Sus scrofa: one gene and its partner. The protein of the gene in region 1 binds, or shares a complex with, the protein of each later gene. Links are inferred from orthologs where the notes say so. Each region holds a gene or a part of one and is shown on either strand. Other genes may lie near its edges. The genes, in order: SMC2 and NCAPD3.

Region 1 (3,822 bases):
CTTCAGATAAATACCTAGATGTAGAATGGTTGGATCATATGGTAGTTCTATTTTTTTTCTTTTTTTTTGGTGTCAGATCCACTGGCCTACACCACAGCCACAGCAATGCAAGATCTAAGCTGTGTCTGCGACCTATACCACAGCTCACAGCAACACCAGATCCTTAACCTACTAAGAGAGGCCAGGGATCAAACCTGCATCCTCATGGATACTAGTCAGATTGATATCCACTGAGACATTGGGGGATGCCCTAGTAGTTCTATTTTTAATTTTTTGAGCAGCTTCCATGCTGTTTCCCATAATGGCTGCACCAATTTACAATCTCACCAATAGTGCACAAGGGTTCCCTTTTCTTCACATATTCACCGAAACTTATTTCTTATATTTTTGATAATAGCCATTCTAACAGTTGATATCTCATTGTCATTTTGATTTGTACTTGCCTGATGATTAGTGATATTAAGCATCTAATCATGTACTTATTGCCCATTTGTATGTCTTCTATGGGAAGATGTCATACTGCACATTTTTTTCATAGGGTTTTTTCCTATTGAGTTGTATGAGTTCTTTGTGTGTTTGGGTATTAACCCCTTATATATATGATTTACAGATACTTTTTCACATTCAGTAGGTTGCCTTTTCATTTTGTTAACAATTTTCTTTGCTGTGCAGAAGCTTTTTATTTTGATGTAGTCTCATTGTTTATTTTTGGTTTTGGTGTCAGATCCAAAGAATTCATCACCAAGACAGATGTCAAAGACCTTACCTTTTTAAATTTCTTCTAGGAGTTTTATATGCCCAATACCATATTAAAAGAATTTTTGACTAGAAAAAGTAGCCTTTCTCAACTGATGTTCATGTCGGAGTTAAACCTACAGAAAAAGATCTGAGTGAAATTAATTCATTCCATACAGTGGATTACTCAGGACATTAAGACTTAATTTTCTCTTGGAGCTCCCTTGAGAAGAGTTGGTGTGAAAGAATGAACATTTTAAACAAGAGCAAAGGCTCTTTTGGTATTTTTTCCTATGGAATAAAACTAAGAAGATGACTGATAATCAGTAACACTAGTCTGGTTTGACCATTGTTCATGCTTATTTTCCAAATACATAGAATTAAAATGGTTTTCAGAGAAATAATCCTCCTGGGAGAGGGACTGATGGTGAATAGAAGCTTCTGAAAAAGGAATGCTAGCAAAATTGTCCTTATAAAATTAATTATAATAATAATACTACTTCCTTTTCTTACAGTACTTCTCACATGAACTATTTTGTTTACTTCTCAACAGTGTTATAAGATAGTATCAGGACTCTGCAGATGAAAAAACTGGGGCACAGAGAATAAGTTCCTTGCCCAAGCATGTGCCACAGTTCAAATGCAAATATTAGACCATGCTTCATCCATGTATGCACAAAATGGCTGAAGTCTTATTTACAACAATTCTAAGTAGAGATTTGTAAAATGAAAGATGAATATTGTTAGCCTTAATTTTAAGTCTTGTATTTGAAGGAAAAGAGAAGGAAGGAATTACTGGCTTCAGTCTTAAAAGAGATGTACTCTGGAACCTCATGTAGCATAAAGTTTGATTTTAAAATTGGAGTGAAGGCCAGGAGTATGTCCTGAATGTTAGGGTTAATGGATAATATGTACATTTATATACTTAACTTTTATGGTCCATAATTTTGTTAAAATTCTTGGTGAGGTTAAGGCCCTAAATAATATCATTAATGTAAATTCCAATGAAACTCATTGTCTTGGATTCTTAAAACGTTAAAACAAGTATCTTTACAGATTTTGTCCATGATAGAAGAAGCAGCTGGAACTAGGATGTATGAATACAAAAAAATAGCTGCCCAGAAGACAATAGAGAAAAAGGAGGCTAAGCTAAAAGAAATTAAGACGGTAATTAAATTTATATAAAATATTTTTAGAGAAGAGTGTAATTTTGTATTTAGAATCTCTCTGCTGTAAAGAGGGAAATCCACCCTCCATCACCCTCAGTTCAATTTTCCTTAGTCTTCTATTCTATTTCTTTCTTTTAAATTTCTTTAATGGTACTTCACATACTAAAAAATATGATTTTCCTTTATTTTCCAGATTCTTGAAGAAGAAATTACTCCAACCATTCAAAAATTAAAAGAGGTATATACACTGTATATTTGAGGAAATCCAGCCAGAATATGTCTCAAAATTGGTGACGTATCCACGATCATATACATAGGGATGGAAAGTGTACCGCTTCTCAGGAGTTTTTCACAGGGATGAGTTAGAGTTGGTGGACTCCATACTCAGTCTTCTGCTTGTAGAGAACAGTGTACTTCATTTCTGTTAAGTCATAATGGTTTTGTACATTGCCCTTCATAATCTCAGAAGATGATGTGTCAGAATTTAGTTTTTTGTGGAAGAGAACTCTCCATTTTCCTGGATAGTTGGAATTGAGTGGAATAGCATTTCTTAAAGATAGGCATTCTTGTAAATCAACTATACTTCAAAAATTTTAAAAAACTTTTGAAAGATATGGCACTCTTAGTAAAAAGAGTGAATAACCTCTAGAATAAGGGGTGCTACTGCTACAGTTACCACTGTCCAGGCAGTTGGTAAGTGAAAGGTACTGGAACAGATAACTATGTTTTCTCTGTAGTCTTTGCAGCTTCTCACATCAAAATCAGTGTTCCAGTGAAAGAATGCATTTATAGTGCATTGTTTTAAAATTATACATTTAGGAATTTATTAAATGTTCACAAAAATTTGATATTTCTCAAAACTGTCTTCTGAATCCATATAGTAGCATAGATGTTATTGGAAAAACTGAAAAATTGTGGCTTTGAAGGTACTGCCTTTAGTATGTATGATTTATTGGAAAACGCTAGATTATGAGTTTAAACTTAGGTGTCATACCTTATTTTGCCAAATTCTTTCCAAATCTGACAATACGGAGAGGTCATTTAATCACTTTTAATTTGTTTCTTCATCTGCAAATTAGGGATTTTAATTGTTATTTTGTCTGCCCCAGTAGGTCCTATGAGAATTCAGTTTGATAATGTGTAACCAAATGTTTGTAGTTACATAAATGAATGTTTGGGTAGGCATCTTGGTAATATTACTACAAAATACATTTAATGGTGTATCGTTCATGGTTGTGCAGATTGTATTTATATAGATCTCTCAATACCTCCAGTCTGTGAACCTTTTGTCCGCATTTCTTTGTTAATCCCAACTGCCTGATTATATGTGAGAAGAAATAGCTACATAGGATTCACTTCAGATGGTATGCTTCCTTAAAAGCCAAAGTTCTAATATTATTTAAAGTTTCCTAAAATTTATAATCCGTGATCACTCAATCTAAGAAAGGACCTGCTATATCATGTAATGGGAAATTTTGTACATTTGGCTCAATTTTGATTCTTTCTAAATTTGTTTAGAAACATGAATTTTGAGTTATACTTTATTGGTGCTTTCTCTTTCAGGAAAGATCTTCCTATTTGGAGTACCAAAAAGTAATGAGAGAAATAGAACATTTGAGTCATTTATACATTGCTTATCAGTTTTTGCTGGCTGAAGATACCAAAGAACGCTCAGCTGAGGAGTTAAAAGAAATGCAAGATAAAATTCTAAAGCTTCAAGAAGAACTGTCTGAGAATGATAAAAAAATAAAAGCACTTAGTCATGAAATAGAAGAGTTGGAAAAAAGAAAAGATAAGGTCAGACATATATGTAAGAATAGATAATATACTCTGTGAAAAAAATACTAAATTATATACAATGTTTAGGATTTACTAGTATTGTCTTCTATAGTGATTATTAATCTTACAGTATGATAAA
Region 2 (3,822 bases), on another chromosome or scaffold:
TGAACTCCTGCTAACACTGGCTGGCTTCTGCTCTGACAGGTGACCAAAGGCAAACACTGCTCTTCATTGCTCCGTGTGAAGGAGCAGAAGTGTCGACAAATGTGGTCAGTGGCAGGTTAGTCAATGGTTGACCTGGGCGAGGGCTTTTTTTTCCTTTTTCTTTGTCTTTTTAGGGCTGCACCTGCAGCATATGGAGGTTCCCAGGCTAGGGGTCTAATCGGAGCTGAAGCTGACAGCCTATGCCACAGCCACAGCAACATGGGATCTGAGCCACGTCTGCGACCTACACCACAGCTCATGGTAACGCCAGATCTTTAACCCACTGAGCAAGGCCAAGGATCGAACCTACGTCCTCATCAATGCTAGTTGGGTTCATTAACCGCTGAGCCATCACAGGAACTACCAGGCTTTTTTCTTTTTAAACTTACAAGCAAACTAAAGCTTTATTATATAGCTTAGTATTTTAAAAATCACTAAATCGTACATAAACAACTCGCTTTTAAAGAAAAGAGATCTTTGCCAGAAATTAGGCCAATTGCTGGGCTGTCTGGCATAAGGGAAAAGGCTTACCTGGCAATAGCCAAGTCTGGGTCTACCAGTGTGCTGACAAACCGGAAGAACAGGGGGCCCTTCCACTTCACGAAGTCCTCCTGCATGAGAGAAGGCATCATGGGGGCTTCAACATGCAGCCCCTCTGTTTCCAGGGCCATCTGCACTCACCCCACCCACCCCAAGAGCACAGGGCTGTGGGAGAAAAGGACTCAGAGCTCCTGCCCTGCAGGAAGAGGGTCAGAGGCACCCTTGTGATGTGCACACCATAGGAGACAGTGAGGGCCCAGAACAGACACAAATCACTTAAATACCTTCTGATCAAATAGTATTTCCCCTCATGTGGACACATCTCCCAGGCTCTCAGAGCATGTCTTTGGGGATGCCGGGGCAAGGGTAAGGGTCCTCACTGTACAAATGATGATGTTCCATCTGGGAACACGGACCCTTCAAAGAATGGGAACTAGACCTACTTGTCTATGTAAACTTTTCTCTATGTGCTGAGTATTTGTAAAAATACCATTTCACCCTGCAAGACTGGGTCTCTGAACAAACACCCAAAAGGAATATTAGGAAGTAAGAATCTACTTAAAAGTCTGTTCAGAACACTGGAAGAGTGGTATCTGAAAGTGCAGTTGAGGCTCCTGTGACTCTACTACACAGCCACCTTCGGCGCTGCCCAGGTACCCCTGGGCCAGGAGCAGGCCGGTGGGGGCAAGACCACCTGCGCACCTGCAGCAGGTCAGTGAGCAAGAGCAGCGTCTGCCTGCGGATGAACGGCTCTGAGTCCTTCAGACACGCAGAGATGTTGGGGATGTACTTGTCCACCATGGCCGTGTACCGCTTGCAGAGATCACACATGGTGATGACGACGTTGTTGCGGACGGCCATGTCGCTGCACACCTCCAGCTCACGCACCAGGGCTGGGATGCTCCTCTTGGCGAGATCCTCATGCTGTAAGCACAGCTTTCCTGCCACCAAGAGAGGGATACCCTGATTCTTTATTCTATGCCTTCTCTCCAGCTGTAACCTGCTTTGGATATTATTTCATCAAAGTCAAAACATCGACAATCACAAAAAATCAAAGGCAGACATAACTCAAACAAAACAGTAAGAAGTTCAAAATACCACCTGCCCAACCCAGGGTGTCCTGAGATGGACACTCTGAGATGTTCCTTTACTGCAGTAAAGTCACCAGCGCTTGAGTTTTGGAGCTAATTACCTGGAAAATGACCGATAAAACCCATGATACATTTTACATCTCTCTCTTTTTTTTTTTAACGGTTGCACCTGCAGCATATGGAAGTTTCGAGCTAGGGGTCAAATTGGAGCTATAGCTGGGGCCTACTCCACAGCCACAGCAATGGCAGATCTTTAACCCACTGAGCGAGGCCAGAGATCAAACCTGCATTCTCATGGACACTATGTTGGGTTCTTAACCTGCTGAGCCACAATGGGCAACTCCACATTTTACTTTAGATTATACTTATAGTTGATAGAAGCTAAGAAATTGAAGAATGAACTTGAAATGTGAGTGAGTCAAATACACAATCATGTCATTTATCACACCTTTTTTTCTTTTATTGCCTGGGGAATGTTTTCCTCTTATTTACAATTCTTAGATTTTTGAAAAAAAAAATTACTACAAAAAGATTTGTAACTCATACCAAGAATAAAATATAGTCACAAGAAATTGAAGGAGTTTCCTGGTGGCTCAGCAAGTTAAGGATCAGGCATTGTCTGCTGTGGATCAGGTTGCAGCTGTGGTATGGGTTTGATCCCTGACCCTAGAATTTCTGCATGTTGTGGGCACAGCCTCCCCCCCAAAAAAATCAAAATTCAAATTATTGCATAGATGTCAGTCTTCTCAAGATAAACAACCATATGAATTCATGGAAAGCATCAGACTATCTCTTTATAAAGTGACCTGCAAATTTATTTCTTCATTCCTAGAACTCAGTGCAGTACCTGGCATACAGATCTTCATGAATAGGCCTCAGGGTGTTATTGCAAGTATAAAAAAAGTCACAGGAACAGGTTTAAAGGTAATAAATAGAGAGTGTACTGCAGATCTGGGTGCTTCTATAGTTGCCTCCTGAGCTCAGGGGCTTTTTAAATCACTGGCTTATTTAAGACAAAACCACATGTGGAGGTGGCTGCCCCAGGTCTCCTTACTCACCCAAGGCAATGACGGCATGTGCTCTGATCACGGAGGGCATGATGGAGCTGTGGATCCCTGGGAGGGGTTGGGAGGCTGTGGCCTCACTGCCGCCTGGATCTGAGGCTGGCACTGTAGGAGGGAAGGAGGTTTACTGCTCTACTCCGGGGGCTAACCCAGCCTGCAGGCAGCAGGTGCAAAGGGTAGGCAGGTGCCTTACAGTGGTCCGTGCTGGGAGAAGCAGCCAGGATGGACTGGATCAGCAGGAAGGCTCTCTTGTCCACTCTAGCTGGACAGAGCTGGGCTACGTCTCCTAAGGTGAAAATGTACTTCACCTGCAGAGAGAATTGGTTCTGCAGTAAGAATAAGGCAAGAGAAAAATGAACTCTAGCAAGATTAAGGCCATGTCAGTGAAGTACTTGTACCTTTTTTTGTCCCATATTAAATGACTGTTTCCCCCCATAAAAATACAAGGCCATTGTAAAAATTCATCCAAAATCAGGGTGATATACAGTTTTATCATCTATGTCTAGATACTCCTTCCAGTCAAAGGGGTGCTGCTCACAACTGCACCGCAATAAAGTGAATCACAGTGTTTTCAGGTAAGTGGGGACACAGAACAGCCACTAACTGCAGATACCGTCCTTGATTTTGTTTGACTTTCTTTTCTAAGTCACAGTCATAGTTCCAGGGCTTCACTTTGCTCTTCTCACATACTCACCAATCACATGAGGGTGAAGTCTGTGATTCTTTAGTATCAGCATCCTTTCATGTTGATATGTAAGATAAATAGGTTCAATGACTACATAAGCATGCTAAACCTCACACTGACCTAACCCTCTCCTGACCTAACACCACTGCCCCTGGAGAGCTGAGCAGGCTGGGAGGGCACATGATCTGTGGCAGCTCCGAAACCCACTTTCAGGTCATTGTCCTGATGAGCTCAATAGTTAGACTCCCACCAAAACTGAGGAGAACCTGCCTCCTCAATCCACCACTACCATGTTCTCATCAAGGATATCCAGTTTAATGGGTAATACTGTCTTCTTTAATTTTGAAAACGCAAGGGTGATGCTCAACAAACAGTAAAATGTTAAAAATAAGGCTTTTTAGAG

Evidence for each region.
Region 2: the proteins of SMC2 (region 1) and NCAPD3 are in contact, whole or in part, in a cryo-EM structure (PDB 9F5W), measured with the Homo sapiens proteins. The link is inferred for Sus scrofa from reciprocal best matches to the Homo sapiens genes SMC2 and NCAPD3. Residues at the interface, in NP_001036015.1 of Homo sapiens: Arg112, Ala122, Asn123, Asn124, Thr125, Arg126, Leu218, Lys222, Arg225, His229, Trp940, Asn942, Ala943, Glu944, Phe948, Arg981, Met985, Arg986; in NP_056076.1 of Homo sapiens: Asp31, Met72, Ile80, Pro127, Gly128, Ala131, Phe135, Pro137, Asp141, Lys235, Gln237, Gln240, Leu1121, Asn1196, Asn1200, Pro1203.

What each region holds. Positions count from the first base shown.
Region 1 is NC_010443.5:245,415,834-245,419,655, forward strand, and holds part of SMC2 (structural maintenance of chromosomes protein 2), read left to right. Parts: intron 1-1,791; coding exon 1,792-1,902; intron 1,903-2,097; coding exon 2,098-2,142; intron 2,143-3,467; coding exon 3,468-3,701; intron 3,702-3,822. UniProt on the Homo sapiens protein: Central component of the condensin complex, a complex required for conversion of interphase chromatin into mitotic-like condense chromosomes.
Region 2 is NC_010451.4:60,733,437-60,737,258, forward strand, and holds part of NCAPD3 (condensin-2 complex subunit D3), read right to left. Parts: intron 3,043-3,822; coding exon 2,928-3,042; intron 2,840-2,927; coding exon 2,729-2,839; intron 1,521-2,728; coding exon 1,282-1,520; intron 651-1,281; coding exon 571-650; intron 1-570.